Linked DNA regions of Pelodiscus sinensis. The protein of the gene in region 2 purifies or fractionates together with the protein of the main gene of each other region. This does not show direct contact. Links are inferred from orthologs where the notes say so. Each region holds a gene or a part of one and is shown on either strand. Other genes may lie near its edges. The genes, in order: STK24 and CTTNBP2NL.

Region 1 (12,276 bases), on a different chromosome or scaffold from region 2:
CACCTACCAGAAATCTTGTCCCCAGACAGGTACTTCTAAAAGGAGCACTTGCCTACTAATTTTCTCTTAGACAAACTAAATAGACTAAGTTTCTTAAGTCTATGGTAAGGCAGGTTTTCTTGTGCTCAAAACGGTTCTTGTAACTCTTTTCTGAACCCTTAACAATTACAAAATAATGTAGGAAAAATTGTAGACACCAATACTGGATACAGTACGCCACTTTTGGTCTCACTAATGCTATCTACAACAATAACACCACCTTCCTATTTCTACTCAGTATTTTTTTGCCTCCACGTAAGTTTGTGTTGGCGAACTGTAGCCCATATGACTAGCTTGCCATGTTGCTATATTGTATAATCTATTTTTCTTGATTGGTTTGATTATATTACAGGTTGAACCTCTCTAGTCAGGCAATATCTGTGGTCTAGCATGATTTTACTTAGCCAGATGTCCATTTATCATGGGTGTGACCAAGTTTCCTGCAGCCTCACAAAGTTTGTTCACAACCCCCAGTCCAGTGTTCTGTGCTGTTATTTAGTTCTAATTTACCCCTCAATGTCTTTTAAGAGCCAACTAAGCAGTGGAGGTGTTAGTAATACTGCTAGACAATATTGACCTCTCACGGTTCAGCAAATTCTGTGGTTCGGCACCAGTCAGGTCCGAAGGGTGCCTGCCAGACTAGAGAAATTCAACCTGTATTTTGGTTTATAGTTCAGTGAATATTATTTCATTATATTTGGTTGTAATCCAAGGAACCTATAGATTATCTAGAGGAAATTAGCATAAGTATTTATAACCCATGGCATATATAAAAGAGCTATTAGTTACCCTTTTGCCTCTGTGAGCTGAACCGAGAATTTAATGTTTAACAAGATCCTGGAATATACCTGTAACACTCAAGGTACACCACAAGAACATGGAAGTAATGGCTCAGGCCAAAGATAACTTCAAGTTAGTGGCACAGCCATGGGCTCACGCCTGGCACCACAATATGCCCACGTCTTTATGGCTGACTTTGAACAATGTCTCCTCAACTCTCACCCCCTAACGCTCTTACTCTACTTATGCTACATCAATGACATCATCATATGGTCCCACAGGAAAGAGACCCTTGTTGAAATCCCTGTGAAACTCTTCAACTTTCACCCCACCATCAACCTCAGCCTGCATCAGTCCACACAAGAAATCCACTTCCTTGACACTACAGTACAATTAAATGATAGACAAATTTCCACCACCTTTTACTGGAAGCCTACTGACTGCTACACTTTATCTTCATGCCTCTAGCGTCCATCCCAGACATATTTCTCAATCTATTGTATACAGCCAAGCCCCAAGATACAACTGGATTTGCTCCAATCCCACAGAGACAAAGACCTATAGAGGATTCTTAAAACTGAAATACCTACCCGGAGAAGTGAAAAAACAGATCAACAGAACCAAAAAAAATACCCAGACATGAACTACTTCAAGGCAGGTCCAAAAGAGAAAACAGTATTCCACCTGTCATCACCTACAGCCCCTAACTTAAACCCATCCAATACATTATCAACAATCTACAACCTATCCTGGAACATGACCTCTCACTCTCAGAGACCTTGGGGGGGAAACCAATTCTTGCCTACAGACAACTCCGTAACCTCAAACAAATTCTTTCCGGTAACCATGTAACACAACTCCATCATAATCATTTAGGAACCCACCCCTGCAATCAGCCCCGATGCCAACTCGGCCCACACATCTACACCAGCAATTTCATCGCTGGATCCAACCACATCAGCCACCAAATCAGAGGCTCAATTAACTGCACATTTACTAATGTGATCAACGCCATCAAATGCCAGCAATGCCCCACTACAATGTATATTGGCCAAACTGGACAGTCTCTACGGGAAAGAATTAATGGACACAAATCAGATATCCAAAAGGGCAATACACAAAAGCCTGTTGGAGAACACTTTAATCTTCCTGAACGCTCCAAGTAGCCGTTTTGTTTTAGACCAATTCCACAAGCCAAATACACAGAAAAGGTTGGAACTTAATTTCATTCACAAGTTTAATTCTTATGCAAATAGTATGAACCGGGATATTGGATGGCTCGCACATTATCTTCCATATTTTAATGACTTAACAAAACAAACAATGAAGATGCTAACAATTCGTATCAGCCTCTAGTAACTATTAATCTAGTAGCACCTTAAAGACTAATCTGGGGTTTTGGTTTTTTTTTTTTAGTTCCTGTTACAGACTAATTCAGCTACTCTTCTGAACCTTATCTACTCACTGTCTTTTTTTTTTTCTTCTTCTTCTTCTTCCCCCCTCCTCCTCCTTTATTTATTCTCGGAACTGGACTTCTAACTCTCCTGTCATCTGAAAAAGTGGGTTGTGCCCACAAAAGCTCGTGATACTATCTACATGTTTTGTTAGTCTTTAAGGCACTACTAGACTATTTGTTGTTTAAGTTTTAAGAATGAAACTCTATATTAATATGTAAGAATACGTTAGCCTAATGTACCCTATAATTTATCTGGGTGAAGAAATAAGGTTTGAATCTGCAAAGTCAGGCACCCTTCATCCATTTTAGAGACTGTAAACTCTGAGATAGAGATAGTACCTACTACAATACAAGAAATAAAGCCTTTATCTGAAAAAGTAGTTACAGCTCCTTTTTCCTGCCAGCATTATTTCAGTCTTTTTTTTCCCCCTGACTCTCTCATCAAGTTCTGTGTTTTCAAGAGAAGTGTCACCTTATTGTCAACCTCACTGGGAAGAACTACATCCATAACAATACAATATGACCATGTGTATTTGGGGCTGTTAAAGAAAACCAGTTTAAATGTTTGCAGTCTTCCTCTGAAGCATATTTACCACCAGACCTGCTGGAGAAATGAACTTTAGGGAAATCAGGAACATTTCCTTTGTGAATAAGGATGCGGAAGAGATTGATTTCTCCTTCACAGTAGGAGAAATATCTGTAATGCCCTTTCTGAATGACTTGTTTCACATAAACACCAACACTTGGTCAGGAGATTTCAAGAGGGGACTTCAGAAACTAAAAGTGGATGCCAGTTTATTTTGTTCGGCAATATGCTTTTTAGGCTTACTACACCCAAAGACAGTGATAGAGTATCATGCCCTCTGAGTGAATATTGGTGATGGACTTTTTCCTCAAGTTGCCTTGGATAACAAGGCCAGGCCACTGGAAGTACACAATTGACTGTCCTACTGGAAGTGGGTCCTTAGAGAAACCTTAAACATTAATCTTTCTGCAAAGAAGAAATACCTTTTTGTACTTGATATATTAAAACTCACTGCAGCTGATTTACTGTAAAAAAACTAGATATTTTCAAAGAAAAATAAAATCCAAGAGATAAGTAAAGCTTGTAACCAAAGCACCAACCAAAACCCAAACAGGATCTCTCAGCCTTTACTTAAGGCTATTCTACTAAACACCTTCTGCAAATAGGTCACAAGTTAGCAAATTAATTTTTTGATCCATTCAGGTAAAAAATAGGATAAAGTTTAAACAAAACTCCATGTTTAAAAAGCATACTTCTACAAAATTGTTGTGACAAAATTGTTAAAATGTGGTAAAAGTTGGTACTGAGTTGTTTCTAGTAGTTTTATGCCAATTTTTATTATGTTTTAAATGTATTCTCAAGTTGAACAATAAACTAAGAGTGAAAATATTCTAAGTTTAAATTGATCTAAATATACCACTGCTAGACCTGAATGTCACCAGTAACAAGTCTGTTACTTAAAGTTTCATTTCTTCCTGTCACTAAGTGACAAAACAGACACGTACTATTTTATTCTTCAGGTAGGTCTGGAAGCAAACTCTTTACAAACTATAAACAGTTCACTCGTTTTAGGGTTTAAAGGGAGAAAATATTTCCTCTTCCATTGAAAAACTATTCTTCTATTCAACCTCAATTTTTTATGACAAGGACATCAGTAGAGCAACATTTTTAACTGTAAAACACACACAGAAAAGCATATTCTTACTTTTAAATAGGATCCATAATACTTGGTTACATAAGGACTGTCACACTGACTCAAAACTGTGATTTCTTGCTGGATGTCCTCTATTTCATCTTCTGCTTCTTCTAGATCAATAATTTTTATAGCAACCACTTTCTGAGTCCAATTGTCAATTCCCTTAAAAACTTCACCAAAAGAACCCTTGCCAATTTTCTCCAGTTTTGTGAACAGTTCTTCTGGATCCGCTTTTATATTCTGTTAAATTTATAAAAAGAAAAAGATACTCAATACTTGCTTTCAGTGTTACAAACAAATATGTTAACATTTCTAAAGACAAAGATTAATGACTTTGTGCAGCTCATTAGAACTAAGGATTTAAAAGACAGTGTAATTTGTTAACTGGTTAAAGGTGAAATTTATTTCACCTTTAACCAGTTAACAAATTAAACGGGCCACTCCAACCTGTTGTGCTGGAATTCCCTTCTTCCCCCCCTTAAGTGTTTGAAAAACTGGGTACTAGATATTCAGCTAGCGACCACAGAGCCTAATGTGTTCAAAAGGTTTAAATTACAGTTCCTGCAAGAAACATGATACAATGAAATCTGTCATATCTTTTTTAATTAAAATTAATCCATGACATAGTCAGATAGAATTTTACAACTTATTTCCTCGTTTTAAACAATTACCAGACATACGGAACACCTAAGCATATTTTTCTGAATAATAATGAGTAATTTTAAGGGTCTCCAGAGGAGATGGATGACTTTGCACAGTACATAAAAGTCAGGAGCCCTCCAGGTCACAACAACAACTGATTTGAGTGCACACTGTCTGTAGGTGGAAGGGAGAACATTGTGCATGTGTAGTACATGCCAGGGTTAACAGTTTAAGTCTTTCCCATTAATATTTCCCCTATGCTTTTGCAAGTACACAGTCTTCTATAGATATATGAATGGGTATTTTCAATTAAAATCTCTAGGCTATGCTAGCTCCCCCCCCAAAAAAAAAAGACCTGAATTAGTGCATGAGATAGATGAAACACTAACCAGAAATAAATTTACTTTAAAGCCACACCAAGCATAAAACATTTCAATCCCAAAAGGTAATTTGAGGAAGTTATAAGGAAATAAAAAAAGAAGGCTGGGCCTCAAAGTGGCATGTCATGAAGTAGCATCCAAGCTCTATTAAAGATACATGGGGTCCAATTAGAACAATACACAAACACTGACAGTTTTAAGGTTTCTCTGCGAGGGCTTTGTTATTTTATTTGAACTAATAATAAGACAAAGACAGACAAAGTAGGCAGGGATGCCTAGCCCAGGGATCATGAGCCCCTTGACAATTATTCAGAAACACATACCGGCCCTAACTAAGCAATTCACATGACAAAACAACCTCCACCCCCTCCTCCTCCCAAAGCGCATCCTGCAGGGCAACGCTTTTGCACTGCAGGGAGGGGTTGTGTTTCCAAAGTCAACGAGCCTCCCCCCCTTCGGGCGGCCTCTGGCTCTCCCGGAGCAAGGAAGGGAGCCAGGCGCACGGCCCAAGCACCTCCGCCTTGATTTAGCCAGGCGCTGGCAAAGCCGTTTGTTTCCCAATGACCGCCCCCACCCCGGGCACGGGCACTGATGGGCGGTGCCAGAGCAAAGTGGCTTTTCCCGGCAGCGGCACGACCGCCCCGAGGACCCCCAGCCGCACACGGGCCGCAGAGGCGGAACCTGGCAGCCCCCCCGCCCGCGGGCGTTTCCAGCAGTGCCGGGGCCCGCACGCCTCCCCTCCAGGCAGTTTATGCCGCAACCCCCGCCCGGGCGGGGCCAGAGTCTCACCGGCATCTCCCGCAGGCCGGGCTGCACCGGGGACTGAGTCATGGCGGCGCCGACGCGCGCTCCTCGGGGCTCTGCTCAGGCGGCTCTAGCGACTGGAATCAGCTCCTCGCCCCCTCCCCCACGCACGACTCGCCGAGCGTCTGCGGGCGGGAGCTCCCTGGCGCTCCTCGCCCCGCCCCGCTTCAGGTCCCGTCAGAGACTCAGCGTCGAACCCGAGCTCCCCATTCCCCTGCGCCGCGCGCGTAGAGCGGTCGTTACCGGTCCCGCGCGAAGGGGGGAGGAGGGGGCTGCTAACGTAACGCAAACCAGCTCGGGCGAGGGACAACGGCCGCCGTGCAAGGGGCGCGCGCGCTCTCGCCCCGCCCCCGAATGCCGGTAGCGGCACGAGGCGCTTGCCGGGCTTCGCGCCCGGATGATGGTGACCGGTCCGGGCTCGCGCAGATCCCCGCCGCCCTGCAGCTGCCAGCGGTGAATCGCCGCGGGAGGGGAGGTCGCGCCCGCGGGGGGTGTCTCGCGTGAGCGGTGTCTGGCCTTCGGGGCCGCGCGCGCGAGGGGCATGTGCCCCCGAAGACGGCTGGGGAGCGGTGTCTGGGGCAGTGTCCTGTGTCTGAGGGGGGCTCACTGGCGAAGGCAGGGCGTAGTGTTCCCTTGTCGTGAGTATCCGCCTAGGGCTGGAGCCTGAGCACAATGCGCAAAAACACCTACACCAGACATTGTGCTAACCTGCACCCTACTGCCATTTGGTCCCTTTTATCTGACATGCTGCAGTGATGTGCATTGGATTTACCTCACTGGCTTGGGAGCTCTTTCTCTAGATTGCCAACTAGCAAGTGAGAGAACTGCCAATGAGCCATTTGAGTAACTCTGACCTGTTATCAATATTTTTTCATCACACCCAGGGGCGGCCCTAGACTAGCTGCTAGCAACTGGCATCCTAGGCGAACCAAGCAATCGGCGCCTCCAACCCCAAGGGCAGATATAGACTGAGGTTTTTGGTTCTGTGGCTGGAGCCAAGGGGGCCGGGGATGGAGATCTGTGGCTGGGGAAAAGGGAGAGGGAACAGGGTACCAGTGGGGGGAGAGAGTCCCCTGCAACCGCCTCCTCCCCCAGAGGGAAGCTGGCACACGCCTCTCCTGGGACGACCCCCCTCGCTTCCGCGGCACAGGGGAAGCTGTTGCCTGCCTCCCCCAGGGCCGACCCCCCTCCTGTGGTGCGCCTCCTCCCCCGGGGCCGACCTGCTCCTCCCTCGGCATGGGGAACCCCTATGTACTGCTTCCCCCAGGGCCGACCCCCCCCCCTGCAGCCAGAGAACCCCCACATGTGCCTCTCCCAGGGCCGACCCCCCACCCCCTCCGCAGCGCAGGGGAGGCCGGCACGTGCCTACCCCGGGGCCAACCCCTCTCCTCCCGTACTGCGGGGAAACCCACGTGCGCCTGTTCCCCCGGGGTTGATCCCCCCTCTCACGGTGCAAGGAACCCCTGCGCATTGCCTCCCCTGGGGCCAACTCCCCACGCTCCTCCTCCGGGACCGACTCACCCCTCCTGCGGTGCAGGGAAGCCGCACTCCTCCTCCAGTGCTGAAGTCAGGCGTTGGGGGAAGGGGAAGTGGCAGGGAATTTGGCGCCCCATTTAACTTGGCGCTCTAGGCAGCTGCCAGGTTTGCCTATAGGCACGGGCTGCCCCGATCACACCAGTCATTTGTTATAACCTCACCTATGCAGAGGATATCATGCACACACAGAGGAGTTGATTTCCCTTTCACACCACTGTAAGACTGGGTCTAAATGTAAAAATTGAATTGATCTGTTTGTCCACATGTGGAAAAGCACACCTCCACTGTAGGACTTACCTGCATTGCTGAAAGAATGCTTCTGTAGATATAGGAGATGACACCATCACTCAGGGAGATGATGTTTCTATATCAATAGAAAATCTTTCAGTCAGTGTACGCTGCATCTGTATTATGGTGTTATGATAGCATAGCTACCACAACACACAAAAAAACAACAAAAGGTCTGGTAGCACTTTATAGACTAACGCAGTTAGACCCCTGTGGGGTCACGACGAATTTACAGAGGGGTTGCAGCTGGATCCGGTTTTTTTCTTGAAAGAATGTGTCTCTCTCCACATGTAAAAAAAACATGAAATACCGGACAGAAGCCCAGCAGGGGCAATTTTACCCTGCCTCATATGGCAGGGGCGGGGAGTGAGGAGCGCTGCAGAGTCTAGTGAAAGGGGGGCAGGAGGGAGCAGTCACCAGGCGCCACGTTGGGGGGGTGCCAGAGCGTGCGCTGCTCTGGCCAACGTGAGCAGCAGAGTCCGACAGCTGGCCACATGATGCTCCTGAGTCATGCTGTGAGCTGAGGCGGCCGGGCCGGGCTGGGCTTCAAGAGCAGCCACTTTGAAAGTAAGAGTTTCCTCGTGCCTGGCTCTGCAGTGGTGGGGGGGAGATTAGATTGGAGCATGCTCCGGGACTCTGAGGATGCCTCTCAGAGGGAGGAGGGAGTGCACTGGGATGGGGGGGTGCTGGGAGGCCTGCCTCAGGTGGAGGGGGGAGTGCACTGGGATGGGGGGGGATGAGGGCCTGGCTCAGGGAGGGCTGGGTGCAGTCCCAAACTGGACAAAGTGGTGCAACTTTTGCTTAACGACTTTTGCTTCCACCCCCCCCCCCCTTTTTCTTTTTTTTGCTTAACAACTTTGGTGAGGGTGCGGGGTGTCACACATTCATTTAGCATTTTAGGGGGTCGTGGTATCACAAAGTTTGAGAACCCCTGGACTAACAAAACATGTAGATCCGTGGTCACTAACAGGTTGATCGCGATTGACTGGTCGATCATGAGGCCTCGACCAGTCAATCGCGCCCCCATTTCCCTCCCACCCTCAAGAAGCCCCACTACCTACCTCAAGTGAAAATGGAGGTAATGTCGACTTCCCTGGGATGGACAGAAGTCCTGCAGCTTAGCGCCACTTCCGACGATTCTGGAAGTGCGCTAGCTGCTCTGCCAGGTGTACTGCGGAAGGGAGCATTGGCTCACTGCACCGCACAGGAGGAGTGAGTCAGCCCCGGGGCAGGCGCGCGGGGGGTGGGGGTCGGCCCCGGGGTAGGCATGCGTGGGGGTTCCCTGCGCCGGGGGGGGTCTGTGCGCAGGGCTTCCCTGTGCCGGGGGGGGGGTTGACCCCAGGGCAGGCACACGCAGGACTTCCCTGCGCCGGGGGAGCGTGTGAATTGGGCCCCGAGGAGGCACATGCTGGCTTCCCGTGGGGGGGGGGGGGGGGGGAGAATCCTGGGAGGTGGCAGATGCAGGGGACTCTCTGCTTCCACTGCCCCCCTCCTCCTGTTCCCATTGCCCCATTCCCACTCCCCACTGCCCAGTTCCCTCTCCCCAGCTACCGAACTCTGTCCCAATTCCCATCCCCACTTTTTGAACTCTGTCCCCATTCCCCTGTCCCGATCCACAGAACCCTGTCCCCACTGGCACCCTGTCCCCTGCCAAAGCACCCACTAGCACCCTTCCCCAGTACTATGTCCCCTGTTCCCACCAACACAGTTGGGACCACATTAGTGAAGCTTAGGGGGGGTGAAGGAGGGTTTTTTTGCATCTCACTTGTGTGGCCCCAACTGACTTTTCTTGGGTCAATGACCCCTGACTCAAGAAAGGTTCCCTGCCCTTCTGAGAAATAAAGAAAATGCAGAAACTTTTTGTTTGATACACTATTTGATTTAAAAATGAAGCCTAGCCAACAAACCCCAAACTGGGGCTAAGAACCCATCTGGCCACAGCATCATAACACTCCTGCGCTTACCTTTCCCCCAGACCCTACATCGGAGCCTATCATACACTGGAAACCCCTGTCCTGAGCCCCTCACATACCTCAACCCAAATTCCTGAACCCTCACATCCAGAAGTCTGTGGCTTGCTTAGTACCCTAACCCTACACTGCCCGGCCTGGCGCCCTCTCCTCAAGCCAGTGTCCTCTTATCCACCTTCTCCTACATCCAGATTTCCTCCCAGAACTTGCACCTCTCACCCCTTCCCACACCCAAATCCTTCATTCCCACTCTAGAGCCTACACATTCTGTCTCAACCCAGCAAGGTTACGGCTAGACTGCAGGAGTTTTTCAGGATTCCGGAGATATCCCAGAAAAACTCTTCTGTATCCACAGATGCATTTGTTCTTCCACTTCTTTTAGTGGAAGAGCAAACATGATCTTTCGGTCACCTCTATATTCCTCTTTCCACAAGGAATAAGGGGGCTTCCAAAAGAAGGGGTTTTTCTGACATTTGGTCCGGTCTAGACAGGCCAAATGTTGGAAAAACCTCTTCCTACAGAAGAATTGGGGAAAAAAGCAGCGGTATAAGGGTTGGGGATAGCAAGTGATGGAGAGGAGGAGAATAGAGAGGGTGGAGCTTCAAGGAAGGGGCGGGGTGGTAGATCTTGGCTTGTTCTGTCATTTAAGAAGTGATCTTGGGTGTGAAAAGGTTGGAGACCACTTACGTAGATGGTATCATGAGCTTTGGTGGGCACATGATACCATCTACATGTTTCGTTAGTCTATAAGGGTATGTCTACACTCGCCACCCTAGTTCGAACTAGGGTGGTTAATGTAGGCAACCGGAGTTGGAAATGATGCCCGGGATTTGAATTTCCCAGGCTTCATTTGCATATTGCCGGGCGCCACCATTTTTAAATGTCTGCTAGTTCGGACTCCGTGCCCGCGGCTATACGTGGCACGAACTAGGTAGTTCGGACTAGGCTTCCTAGTCCGAACTACCGGTACACCCCGTTCCACAGTACTAGGAAGCCTAGTCCAAACTACCTAGTTCGTGCCGCGGGTAGCCGCGGGCACGGAGTCCGAACTAGTGGACATTTAAAAACAGCGGCGCCCGGCAATATGCAAATGAAGCCCGGGAAATTCAAATCCCGGGCTTCATTTGCAACTCCGGTTGCATACATTAACCACCCTAGTTCGAACTAAGGCGGTAGTGTAGACATACCCTAAAGTGCTACCAGACCATTTGTTGTTTTTTTCTGTAACAGACTAACTGAGCTACCCCCTGAAGCTACCACAACACAGTTATGCTGATAGAATCTCTATAATGTGGACATACCACAAATAAGGAATAAACTCTCCCAATGTGTAGGAAAGAGAGGAACTGTGACAAGATCTCCAAAATCTGAATGATTCTTTTTTGAGTTTCAAGAAAGAGGAAACTAGCTCAAAATAGAAATTATTTATACAAAAAACAACACAAATAAGTGGGGACATAATTAGAAAGATCAAGACATAAAACAAGATTAAACAAAATAAGGACATAAAGAGTAACAAAAATATTTTATAAATACATTAGAAGCTTGAGAAAGACCAAGGTCCGTTATTCAATGAAGAGGGAAAGACAAAAACAGAAAACACAGCAATAGCTGAAGTATTAAATGCCTTTTTTATTTCAATTTTCACCAAAAAGGTTAGCTTTGATTGGACAACTAATCATTGTGAATGGAGTAGGCTCTGAGGCTAACATAGGGAAGAATAAGTTAGGGAAGAATAAGTTAAGAAGTGCTTAGTCAATTTAGGTATCAACAGGGCCTAATGAAATCCATCATATTCATATTAAAGTGGCGAGGAGTCCTGTGGCACCTTATAGACTAACCGAAGTGTTGGACCATAAGCTTTTGTGGGCAAAGACCCACTTCGTCAGATGCATGTCACGAAGTGGGTCTTTGCCCATGAAAGCTTATGCTCCAACACTTCGGTTAGTCTATAAGGTGCCACAGGACTCCTCACTGCTTTTGCAGATTCAGACTAACACGGCTACCCCTCTGATACTTGACATATTCACATAGTACTACTGGCTGAGAGATCTCGGAGCCATTAGTAAATATATAATCTGAGTACCCATGGAGTAGAGGAGATATCTCAGAAGACTGGAAAAGGGCAAATATAGAACCTATCTATCAACAAGGGAATAGAACAGCTCAGAGAATTATAGACCAGTCAGTGTAATTTAGTAACCAGAAAGAAAATGGAGCAAATAATCAAGCAATCAGTTTGTAAGCGTCTGGAAGATAAAAAGGTGAAAAGTTAACTAGTGATGTAAAAATCACATTTAATTGGCTAATCCGTTAAAGGGGGTGGGTTGGAGAGCCTCCTCTTCCCCCCCAGCACTGCAGGTACACCAAGACTTACTGTGGACAGAGGCTACTTCAGATGGTTGAAGCAGCCCTTGTCTGTGGTGGGCTCCCGGGTGGACTGGAGCAGAGCTGTTCCAGCTCCTGACGGTCAACATGGCTTTGTAAAGAAGTAATTGTGTCAAACCAACTGAATATCCTTCTTTGACAGGATAGCAAGCCTTATATATGTGGGGAAGCAGTAGATGCAATATATCTAGATGGGGGTCAGCAACCTTTTCAAACCTACATCAAAATTCAGAACAAGTGGCCAATAAAGAGCCATATAAGATTGCTCATTT
Region 2 (12,410 bases):
AAGTAAACTTCCTCTTAGCTGTGTTATACTTTTTTCAGCAGAAACATATTTTTATACTTGAAAGCAACATTTCTTATAGTACATTTTGTTCTAAGCCTGTCAATGTTTCCCTTAAAATAACCTGTACAGAATTTAACATAAAATATGCACAAAATAGTAAAACAAAATTTCAAAATAAATAACTAAACACCATCTTGCAGCTGAATCTGAAACTTTTAAAATTAAGACTTAAATATCCTGAGCAAGCACTGTTGGGAGGAAAGGATGGAGTAGGTTACCAAATAATATGAATATTTCATTATATTTAATCATGCACAATACCTGAACAGATTATTTTGAAGGCACTAGGCTATATTCCCCTTGTAGCCATGAATGTAAATGTGAAGCTATTTAAAAGAGGTCCTCAGCATAAGAGAAGAATCTAGTCCATTGATCCCAATAGAGCTTGATGACATACTTGAGGACTCCAAAGGCATCAGTGTTCCTCTCAGAAAAGAGTCTAACCACACCACTTCTGAAAAGCACATATCGCAGAATACGTAATGGGAGTTCTGTATACGTAAGGATTTGACTCATGTGTCTTGTGCTTCTCCTTGCAACATTTTAAGCAGAACAGAAGTGGGCATTTTCCTTTAATGATTGGGGCTACTTCCTGTTCTTTCAGATGCTATGGCTACAAATATGCTGGTTGTTCAACAATGCTTCTGTGTCTACAGCTCTCAACAAGCCTCATTTTAATTCTTCATAGATGAAAAAGGGCTGATATTTTCAGAAGTTCATAGGCATTCAGATACCATAAAAAATCTAAAAAGCTGGTATGGAAATCAGCAAAATAAAAAACATGCTGCAGTATACCTACTAGGGATATAAAATTCTGCTTAACAAGTTAACCGATTAAACATTAAGTTTAATTGGTTAACAGATTAAATGGGAGTGGCCTGGAACATCCTCCCTCCCCACCCTTCACAGGCAGTGCCTGCTCCAGCCCAGCTGCTTCTGGCCCCATGCATGGCTGGAGTAGCCCATGGCTCAAACAGGCTGTTTTCTGAGTACAGGTTAACTGTTACCCAGGAAGCATCAGGATAACCGGTTAACTGGTTACCCGTTAACATCCCTAATACATACAAAGTTGCATCTGTGCTTTCAGTTACATTATTCAAAAACAGGCATACTACTCTCTCTAACTTCTTGTCTTTCCTCAAACGTATTATTAGGCAGTACGCCAAAACCACAACAGAGAATTAAGCTAAAATGAGTAGAATTTGAGGATTTTATTGGAGGGAAAGGGATGGTGGAAGGCAACCTAAAAGCTAAACGAAGCAACTCTTTCCCCAAAATAAAATATTTCCCACAAAAAGTTCTTAAAATGTTCTTTTAACTACTATATTAACAAAATCATCTCTAACCCTTGTGTACAAAATCCTTCAGCTAAAGCACTGGATGGCAAAACTCTTTACTTCATTTAAGAAAAAGCAAATCACCTATCCATTTCTGCTACCCCATAATCTCTATTCAATGCTGTTCTAAAGATCTAAGAGAAGACTAATGACTAAAAGCCAAATACACACCTACAATTAAGCTACCTTCAAATTAAGATGCTCTGTACAGACACACGAGGATTTTTTTCTGGCTTGCAACCAGTTAAGACCAAAATGTTTTAAAAATGTACAACAGAAGCATGTTTGTATTTAAAAATGACTGATCAGACATTTCTGGGGTCACTCATCTCATGTTAGAGAGCTCTCTTCTGAAAATGAATGTTTTTTCAAGCTCTTTATCCAATCCATATGTCTGCTTGCCTCCCCCCCGCCGTGAGTGTGTGTGTAGGTATGTATGCGCGCGCACGTGTGTGTATATATATATTCACACACATACATACATACACACACACACAGCCTGACACTTAAGTTATAAGTACCTTCAACAACTGAATTCAGATGCATTCGGCAACGTATGGGACAAGGGTCTATGTTTCTAGCGCTAATGTTTGCAAAAATGTGTGGTTTACATTTCAAAGGTTGAAATTTTGTCTTCCTGAGTCTGTACATAGAAAGCCCCAGTAAAGCCTGTTGCTGCTGGAAGCCTTGCTGAGCAACAAGAGAGTATTTAATAAGACCATGGTCATTTTCATTGAAGACCAGAGGATTCTGAATACAAGTTGAACCTCTCTAATCTGGCATCCTTGGGACCTGACCGGTACCAGATAGGTATGTACAAAATTTTAAAGTTATTAACCATGTAACTGATAGAAATTCTATGTTACATGGTTAACCATGGCTCCTGGGGGATTGCCACAGCTCCCAGGGCTCCGCAGAGGCTCTTAGGGCTGCCGGGACTGCTATGGCTCCTGGTATGAAGAATTTAAACAGTGCCAGCAACCAATAAACACTTATCGGTTAACCAGGTACCTGGTTAAATTCTTACATCTCTAGTGCCAAACCATGGGAGGTTAATATTGCCTTGCACAGTGGTTCTAAAACTGTGGTCTGCCGCTTGAGCTCAGCTCCCCCTGCTTCCACCCTCTCTCTTACCACAGCAGGGAGCCCATGCAGGCGTTCCAGCCTCGTGTTCCAGCCTCTCGCACCCCCTTTTCCTCTGGCAAGGTTAGATCACCAGCAGTGGTTTCACTTGGGGAATAGGAGGAAAGTGAGACTTCAGTCTCCTCGCTGGTCCTGCCTTATGGGGAAGAAGTGGAGCGATGCAGAGCCAGAAGTTGGGGAAACAGCAGCGCACTGATGTGCTGCCTGGAGGCTTTCCCCGCTAATCCTGGGAAATCCAGCTGATGGGAGCAGCAGGAAGACATGCCCAAGACACTATGCCTGTGAGCAGTGTGGGGTGTGAAAGCAAGTAAGTGACCCCACTGCCCCTTCATGCCCAGACCCCACACCTCTACCCTGCTCCTGCACTGCCCCTCGCCAAAACTCCTTATCCCCAAGCTGCTCCTGCACTCTCCCTCGTGGACACACACCCTACTCCCTGCCTGATCCTGCACCCCACCTCCTGCCCAGACTTCGCATTCTTACCCCCTCCTGCAGCCCACCTCCCACCCAGATCCTGGACTCTCACCCCTATCCCACTCATTGAGAGCTTTGTCCCACACACTGAATCCCTCATTTTTGTTCCCACCCCAGAGCCTAGGAGGGTCAAAAATCCCCTAACCCTGAAAACCCAGAAGAGTAAAGCCGGCCCATGGAAAGCCCTGAACCTTAGTTCTCCCTGTTCCTCCATGGTGCTGGAGCAGCAGAGGAGTGAGGTGTTTCATTTAGGGGTCACATCAGTGACGGTTGGGGGGGTTTTGGAGGAGTTTTTTGCTTCTCACTTTTGTGGTTCCCAACTGATTTTTCTGTGGGTCTATGGCCCCTGATCCAAGGTTCCCCACCCATGTTATAAATAAAGAAAACATTGAAACTTTTTGTGTTGGACATAAATTAATATTTTACTATTTAAAATGAAGTTTGATAAACATGAGAAAGTTAAAGAGCTTAATCTATTTAATATTTCCTTTCTTACTGGTTAAATTAAACCATTTTCCCTAGCAGCAGCACTAACAAAATGACTTGAGCAAAATTATGTAATTAACGGTGAGTTTCCATTAGCAACTGGTGGTCCACGGAAAGGCTTACATTAAGCCAGGGCAGCATTACCAACACTTCCACTGCTTACTGGGCTCTTAGAAGACATTTAGGGGGTAAATTAGAGCTAAAGAACAGCACAGAGCACAGAACCAGGTCCAGTGGTTTCAAACAAACTTTATAGGATGCAGGAAACCTGGTCACACCTATGCTAAGTGGGCATCAGGCTAACTAAAAATCACATCAGACCACGGATGTTGCCAGACCAGAGTGCTGGTTTAGAGAGATTCAACCTGTAACAGCAGAGAAACTCAAGATTCAGGTTAACTTCAATCTACTACTTACGAAAATTGAACTGGATGTAAAGGGTCATACCTGTAGCATAAAACCTGCTACACAAGGCAGTAGTCCCTGTGTTCCTCACAAAAGAGGACCATGCATAAAAGCAGACTAGTCAAGAGTAGTGTGGCTACTTTATTTCCTCACTTTCTTGCAGCAGCCAGGATCCTGAAGCAATATACTCCTCTTCCTTTTTAGTGGGAGTTCTGGGTTTCTCACAGAAGCATTGCTTCAGGAGTTGGCCCACTGGTCCATGGAGAGGGCTTCCCCACTCTTGCCTTTTGTATAAACCTCTCACTATGAGGCTTAGTTTTAAGGCTAGTTAGTGTACAGTAAATTTTTGAGACCTAATTAGATATATTTCTTTTCCTTATTCCGTCAGCAATTCCCTGACAGATACTCTTCATGCCTCTTTCTTCCACTAAGAAAAGGGAATTTTTAGACCTAATTTCAGTGCTGGTCTGTGAAATAGCCAGCAATGGTGTCAGATAGAACCTGAGCAAGCCAGCACTCCATCTATTACAGACCAAGGATGTAAAATTTCATGACATCCATGGGTCCCCTGAATCAGAGTCTGTTCTCAAAGAATTCAAACAGTGGTCCATGAATATTGTGCACACAGACCAGATTGTGAGACTTGGAAGCACTTAAAAAAGAATAAAAAATGACTGATCTACATATTTAAAAAAGCTGACTGTGGATTTCTCATCAAATCCACAGCCCCCGAAAAGGTTTAATAAATAAGCAACAGTCCACCTATCCTTTATCTCCCCAAATTCAAGTTTCAGTAACACGTGAACAAAGAATTGCCAGGAAAATCCACAAAACTATAGTTTTTCTAAACACACATAAATTATCAACCTTTTAACTTTTGCTTCAGAATGCAAATTATAGATAAGAAAAAAGGCAAACATCTTCAGGTTTTTTTTAAACAAAGACTATTAAATGTCTACCTAATACATTAGAGACAGACTCTTTAGAAAAAGCTTGGAATATAACAGCTTTAAGTTAGATGTTTTTATTTTGTTTTACACGAGGAAAGAACAATTTTACTGTTTTAAAGCCCTGATAATCCCCCTGTGAATGGCTAGCCCCCGTCAATTTTACTGCAAATTGAGAGATATGCAATGACCATTTTGGCATCTCTATTCACAATGTCGTGTGACTATGCAGGTCAAGAAACTGCCACCTGTGTGTCCCTGTCTTGCTTTACTAATAGCTGTTGAGCTTAACTTTCATGTTAATTTTTCTCTGCCTCTTTCCTTTACCATGGTGAGGACAGTGCCAGTTCCGCATCTTATATCTTCCAAGATAACAAGCCTTTGTTTGCTTTCTTATTAGTTTGCTTCTCATTTCTATTCATGGAATACTATTATGCAACCTTTGATGATTTTTAACTCTTAGCTGCTGGTGGAGACCTGCCAGGTAGGAACCCACTTCCTGCTAAAGACATTAAGAACTTTTATCTGTTATTAGTGACACAATGTGGGCGAAATATTTTTCAACCTCACCCTCCTTATTTCTGCATCATCCTGGGACCAACACTGCATATTCTGGTTTATAACACTCAGGATTTCAAAGACTATAACCAGCCTTGATCAGAGAAATTTTCCTCTACATTATCTAGTTTTTCAGCCTACCCATGTCCATCTCATTGTTATGAACTTAAGGAGGAGGTGGATGACAGTAGAGGGATCAGCTGATGATTACCTGTTCTACTTCCTCTGGGGCATCTGCCATTGCCACTGTTGGGAGACAGAATACTGGGCTAGATGGACATTTGGTCTGACCCAGTACGGCCGTTCTTATGTAGGAAGCACACAACTCGGTCTGCAGAATTCCTCTCTTAATTGCATCCCACGGGAAACCCTTTTGAATAAACACGGTTCTCTTCCGCCCCTTTAGATAAAAAAAGGGAGGGGGAGGGGGAAGAGAATCTGGATCTGGATTTCTAACGCTCCAGTCATCTGAAGAAGTGGGCTGCGCCCACGAAAGCTCACGCTCCCATGGGCGGGTTTTGTTACTCTTTAAGATGCTACTAGGCTGTGTGTTGTTTTTTCCCTTTCCCCTGTTACAGACTAACTCGGCCCCCTCTGCCCTGTAGATACTGATGGGCAGTGCTTCCCTCCATTCTGCGCTCTCCTTTCAAACCCGTTTGTGTTTACACACACTCCCCCCCCCCCCCACCTGGCAGGAGTTAGCTCGCACGCCCGGCGCTCCCCGTGCTCTCAGTATTAACACAGCCACACAGCAGCGAACACTTCCCGCGGGCGCGGTGCACGCGGCGGGGCGCGCTTTCCGCCCGACTTGGGGGGGGGGCGTCCTTCTTCCCGCCGTGCCCCCGTCCAAGCTCGCAGCCAGCGGACGGACACGTCGGGGCCCAGCCCCCCGCGGGTCCGGAGCGGGCAGGGGGAGCGCGGGCGCGGCCAGAGCCCGAGGCGACCCCCCCCCCGGCTAGCGGGGCGGGCGGGGGCGCTAGAGCTGCCGTCCCGGGCCCGGCACCTGGCGCGAGCTGCGCAACACGGCGCGCGCCAGGCGGCCCGAGCGCCCCCCCCCCCCCATTTTGGGGCGCGTGAGCGCCCAACCGGCACAACGGTCACCCGCCCCCCCCTCCGCAGCCCCGCCCCTTCTGAACCCCCGCGCGCGGGACTCCGGGAGGGGGAAGCAGCGCCCCCCAACGACACTGACCTGCCCCGGCCCCGTCCAGCTCCGCACCCTGCCGCGCTACCACCCGGCCAGGCTCGTCGGCCCGGCCCCGCTCGGCGACCGACGCTCGCGCCCGCCAATCGCCGATCACCCCGACCCGGGCCGGCAGCCAATCCGCGAGCGAAAGGGCGGGGCGGAGCGGGGAAGCCGGTCGCCGGCGGCGCCGCTAGCCAATCAGGGCGCGGTGCTGGGGACGGAGGGGCGGGGCGCGGGGGCTGAAAATCCCTTTTGTTCGCAGTGCTGGAGGGAGAGTGAGGAGCCGTGATTTACACGTCACTTCCGGGGCTGGAATCTGAGCGCGGGTGCAGAGAGCTGCTGGCCCTCTAGGGGGAGCTGTTCCCAGAGCTTGCAGTTTGGATGGGGGGGGGGCTGTCCCCACACCCGGGGGGGGGGGGGGGCAAGAAAAGGGGGTCTGGGAGCTCCCCCTTCTCCTCCCATACCGGCTGGAGGCAGGGCACAGGGCCCCCTGAGCTTCCCCTTCCTCATGCCCCAGCCTGGGACAGGGCAAAGTGGGAGGTGGGGGGCTCTCTGCTCTTGCCTCCAGTCTGGAGAAGCCCCCCCCCCCCAAAAAAAGCACCCTCCAACCCTGGTGCTATTTCTCACGCACCTGGCTGGCCGCTGCAGCTCTTTCTGCATCTAGTTCAATTTCTGCTGCACAGCTATGGTGAAATACTTGCCACAAGGCCTCCAACACACACTTTTTAAAAAGCTGTCCCTGGTCCCATAAGGGTAGCAGAGTTAGATGGTAACTGGAAAAACGTAAGAAAAAACAAATAGTCTAGTAGCACCTTAAAGAATGTGTAGATGGTATCATGAGCCCATGGGCACAACCCACTTTAAGCTCATGATACCATCTACCTGTTTTGTTAGTCTTTGAGGTGCTGCAAGACGATTAGTTGTTTTTTAAGTTTTTTCCTGGTGCTGGTGTTTGCTTACCCTGTGCCATAGATATCAGAAATGGAGCTGACAGTGGGCATGGTCCTTTATGCTGGCTGTGCTTGCCAGGTTCCATCCAGCCAGTGAAGGAAAGAAACCTGATTGGTAGTAGATGGTGTGAATAGAACACCAATGCAAGATAGTGCACATCTCTTCCTGAGGGGTTGTTTTCTTGAAACTTCAAACTAACGGCCAACCTCCAAATGGTTTTGTTATTTCTGTCAGTTTCAGTGCTATCAGATTTTGTAGTCAAGCCCATCTTTAGACTCTAAGCTTTTTAGCACAGGGAGCATCTTGGCTTTTTGAGGTGCATAGCAAAATAGGATCTCAATCATGGTTGGGCCATCTGTGTAGTAAGTAAATCCATTTCTTCAGGTCTGAATATTGGTGACATTGTAGCAGAATTTTCAGAAGCCTTCATGATCCATCACTAATTTTTAGTGTGCAGCAGCTGTTCCTTCATTGATCTGCTGCACACCATTCATCAATCTCCTTGCTTGTTGTCCCGTACTAGCATGATCCTCTATCATTCCTTCCATAATAACTTTTCCAAGTTTCCATCTCTACGGCTCTGTAAGCAAAATACATAAGTTTTCAGCTGTTGCTTTCTGACATCGGGGTCTGCTTCTCTCAAAAAGATTTCTAATGTAGACATTCATCTTTTTTCCATCCGAGAGACAGCAAGAGTAATTTCCAGCATAATATTCCAAAAGCTTCAGTTTTCTTCTTGTCAGCAACAGCAGCATTAATTTACCATGATTCATATCTCTAAGTCATTATAGAAAAAATGATGCATTTCACCAGTCATACCTGCGCACATTTTGAAATGCTATGTTTTTTCCATGCTTTCTTAAGAGAGGCTGTACTTGAGCACATCTTCTTGGGAACAAATCCCCTTGCTTTGATATACTGTATATCAAAACAAGGAGGCTTCTGTATTTATTTCCTTATAGCTTCTCTGCCAATTGTGATATCTGCTTGGTACTATTTAATACAAATACAAGACAGAATCCTGTTACTTTGCACCCCTCAAATCCTACCTCTTCCACAGGTTCACTTTGTGATGGTAGGCAAGTCAAAATTTCCATGGCTCAGTTTTCTCATCAGTAAAATGATAATAATGATTCTACTTCACTCCCATATAATGCTTTTCATAGCATAATAATACCTGCTGCAGTGAATGTTGTAAAGCTTAATTAATATTTGAAAAGTGTCTTCAGATCCTAAACAAGCCATGGACATAAGATAAGGGGAAAAAAAGTAGTAACTCACATTCCCAGGCCTTTTAATCTTTAAAGCATTTCACAAATCTTTAAACGTGTTCACAAATCTTTAAACGTGTTATTATGGTAATGCATTATTATTGGAAAGAAAATTTTGTTTTCATGTTTACACAGAATAATGTAACTATTTCAGAAGTGAAGAAAATTAATAATGACAGTGACAACAGAAAAAAACTGCCTTCACTGTCAGCAGCATCTTTCCTGTTTTTTTAAAACATCTGTTATGAAAATATGACCTCTCTAATAGCAAAGCAGTGCAGAGGCCAATGCAAAATCTGTATTTTTGACAAACCCTAATTCTAATCGGAAGAGCACATGACAAAGTGAAAGCAAAATGAGATGAAAGGTTAGTAAGATCTGTCTGTTTAGTCCTTGGAGCAAACCACTCTATCACTGGAGTTTAAGCCTTTCTTTCTATCACATTAATAGATTCCCCAGAGAGACAGAGAGAGAGTTTACATGGATGCTGTTGTTGTTATTCTTCTACTCCAGAATGGTTTTCGTGTAAGATAAGAAACTTGTTCTGATGAAATCACACACTCCATGAGCTGCTTTGCAGCTTGGGCTGATTTTATTATTGTGATTATTATTACTATTTACCACTAGAAGATTTACCTGGCATTGATCAAGTCCTTAACTCAATTTTTGTTTTTTGGGAAATAATATGAAAATGTACATGCTTCATTGAAATAATTGCCCTGGGCTGGCACTGGGGATGAGGGATTCAGTATGCAGGTTGCCCCAGGAAGAGAGGACTATCCCAGCTCTCTCTCATTGCTGCTGGGGCAGGTCCAGGTTGGACTGTGGGAGGGCACAGAAGGACCACATGTCCCGCAGCAGCAGCAGTTTTGGGATAGCTCTAGGTTGGGTGCTATAACTGGGCGGGGAGGCCCCTCCTCCACTTGCCCCAGCAAGGAGCAGATGTGTGTGTGGAGGGGGAAGGTGAAGCACTCCCTCCCATGACTCCAGTGCTGAGCTGCCACAACTGGGGAGGAGGCACAGACACCCCTCTCCTCCCCAGCCCAGAATGGAATTGCTGCAGCAGCTCTGTGCTGGAGCTGGCAGGCAGATGTGGCACTCTGCATACCTGCCCTGAGCTCCTGCCCTCCCTGAGCCCGCCCTGAACATTTGCTCAGTTCGGTCAGTTTTGAGGACTGTACTGGATTTGGTGATTCTGTCTCTTTTCTGTTTGGTTTTATGAGGAGAAATCCCATTCCAGGCACATCCCACTGTCTTGGCACAACCAAACCTTGGTCTTGCTTTAAGTTATGATAAGAGGAAGTTGCATAGCAAATTTGGTGGTCCTAGCTCTTAGTGTTTAGGACAGTGGTCCCCAACGCGGTGCCATTTATGTGCGCCCGCGGAGCAATCTGGGCTGGCCCTGGCCCCGCCCCCGGGCGTGCGGCAGGTGCCAGCCCCGGGCGCATGGGCCGCCCCTACCCTGGGGTCACGGCGCATGCCAGTGCCGGCCCCGTGCATGCAGCACCTGGGTGGCCTCTGCCCGGGGTTGCGGCACATGCCGGTGCCGGCCCCAGGCGTGCAGCGCATGCTTGGCCCCACCCCCAGGCACTTGGCCCGTGAGCGGCCCCACCCCCATACGTGCAGCGCATGAGCGGTCCCGCCCCCAGGCGCCCGGCAGTCCCAAAACGTTGGGGACCACTGGTTTAGGAGGAGTTCTTAAACAAACGGACTCATGGACAGATGGACAGACAGATGCACAAACTCTCTCCAGTGTATGGTGAGACAATCCCTACCCAAACCTCAAAATTAGAACAAGAGAAACAAAGCTTTTGTCTAAAAAAGGACAATTTAGAAATTGCTTTAAGCAGCAATTTTGGTTGCAAAGTGAACAACTGCAGTAAACCAGTGACTGATCCTTTTTTCCTTTTATTTTTAATGAGAAATGTGTTTGAGCAAACAGGTCCTACAGAGAAAGGGATAAATCTTCTGCTGTTTTAAACATATAGCTTGGCTGAAGTTGATGGAACTATGCTTTTTTACAGCTCCTCAAGGACCCTGGGGCTCTAGCTTTTCTTTATTAACTTTGGAAGTAAATAACTATATTCTTATTTATATTACATTAGTGCTTAAATCCTAGCTATGATGCTGCTGTGCTAGATGCTGTACATTCACAGGCTATGTCTACACTGCCCCCTCTTGTGCAAAAAATATGCAAATGAGGCAATGGGAGGAATATCGCTGCGCCTCATTTGCATAATCAACGAGGCTCCATTTTTGCGCAAGAGGCTTTTGCGCAAAAACCCCTCTTGCACAAGAGTCGTTCATCCTGAAAAAAAGAGGAAGAAAGGCTCTTGCACAAGAGGGGATTTTTGTGCAAAAAGGAGACATGTAGACGGCTCCTTTTTGCGCAAAAGCCTCTTGTGCAAAAACTGAGCCTAATTAATTATGCAAATGAGGCATGGTGATATTCCTCCCATTGCCTCATTTGCATATTTTTTTGCACAAGAGGGGGCAGTGTAGACATAGCCACAGAGTCCCATCCCTGCCTTACAGGCCCTTTGAGACAAAGGGTGGGAGAAAGGAAGATTATCCCCATTTTACAAATGGAGAACTGAGGCACAGAGAGATGAATTGTCTTGACCAAGCTTGCACAGGGAGTTTGTGGCAGAGATGGAGATTTTCTTGGTGTCAAGCCTAGCACATTCATCACAGGTCATTCTTTTTGGCAGCATCAACTTTCCTCAAACAATGAGGCTCAAGACCAGTGTTTCTCAAAGTGGTCCACGAAACCACTTTGAGAAACCTGCTAATTGGCCGGTGTAGTGTGTTTATTTACCAGCTCCACTGTCATGGAGGCTCATGGCTCCCTTTGGCTCCAGTCTGCTGTTTGCAGCCAAGGGAAGCCACGGGGAACTGGAGCCAATGGGAGCCGTGAGGTTCCGTGGCCATGGAGCCAGTAAATAAACAACCCACACCGGCCAATTAGCAGGTTTTGCTCAGACCTGCAAGAAAGACCCAGTTATCACCAGTTGCGGGGGTTTTTTTGCGGGGGGGGGGGAAGAGGAGAGTGAGCCATCTGAAAAGATGTAGTTGTACAAAGAAGCTGACGTAAAACCTCAGGATTAAGTTTGTTTCTTATTTTCCCTGCAAATCACACTATGGCATTTAATGATATTGGTGCACCAAGCGTTTACTTGGAAAGGGGTTTATTGTATGTGCAGTGTGACTTATCTTGATGGTAAATCTGATGATGACTCAAACTTCTCATGATTCTTGATGCTGTACAAACACTGAATGACGCAGGTGTTGAGACAGGTATTTTGCAGATGGGTAATAGGAAAACAAGCATGTTTAAAGTTTTCTTACCCAGAACCACATGGAAAATAGAACCTATGGGTGCTCCTGGACTGCCATTTTAACCCATATACCTCATTGCCTCCTTATTGAGAGCAGTGGTCTCCTTGATTGATGAGTTGATTGTCTAGCCCTTTGTTCTCTGAGGAATGGGGGTTACTGCCATGCGTGCTGCTATGGGCATTCCATATTCCTACACAGCAATCCGAATGAGAACTGAACCCACTTCTACAGAGGGTGCTGCATGGACCCTGATCTC

What was found.
Region 1: the proteins of CTTNBP2NL (region 2) and STK24 purify together in Homo sapiens (affinity purification with mass spectrometry; 3 studies listed by BioGRID and IntAct, with this or other methods). This does not show direct contact. The link is inferred for Pelodiscus sinensis from reciprocal best matches to the Homo sapiens genes CTTNBP2NL and STK24.

The regions. Positions count from the first base shown.
Region 1 is NC_134711.1:249,512,791-249,525,066, reverse strand, and holds the start of STK24 (serine/threonine-protein kinase 24), read right to left. Parts: upstream 6,005-12,276; 5' UTR 5,850-6,004; coding exon 5,808-5,849; intron 4,237-5,807; coding exon 4,006-4,236; intron 1-4,005. UniProt on the Homo sapiens protein: Serine/threonine-protein kinase that acts on both serine and threonine residues and promotes apoptosis in response to stress stimuli and caspase activation.
Region 2 is NC_134737.1:2,311,144-2,323,553, forward strand, and holds the start of CTTNBP2NL (CTTNBP2 N-terminal-like protein), read right to left. Parts: upstream 5,963-12,410; 5' UTR 5,652-5,962; coding exon 5,622-5,651; intron 859-5,621; exon of another isoform or gene 322-858; intron 1-321. UniProt on the Homo sapiens protein: Regulates lamellipodial actin dynamics in a CTTN-dependent manner. Associates with core striatin-interacting phosphatase and kinase (STRIPAK) complex to form CTTNBP2NL-STRIPAK complexes.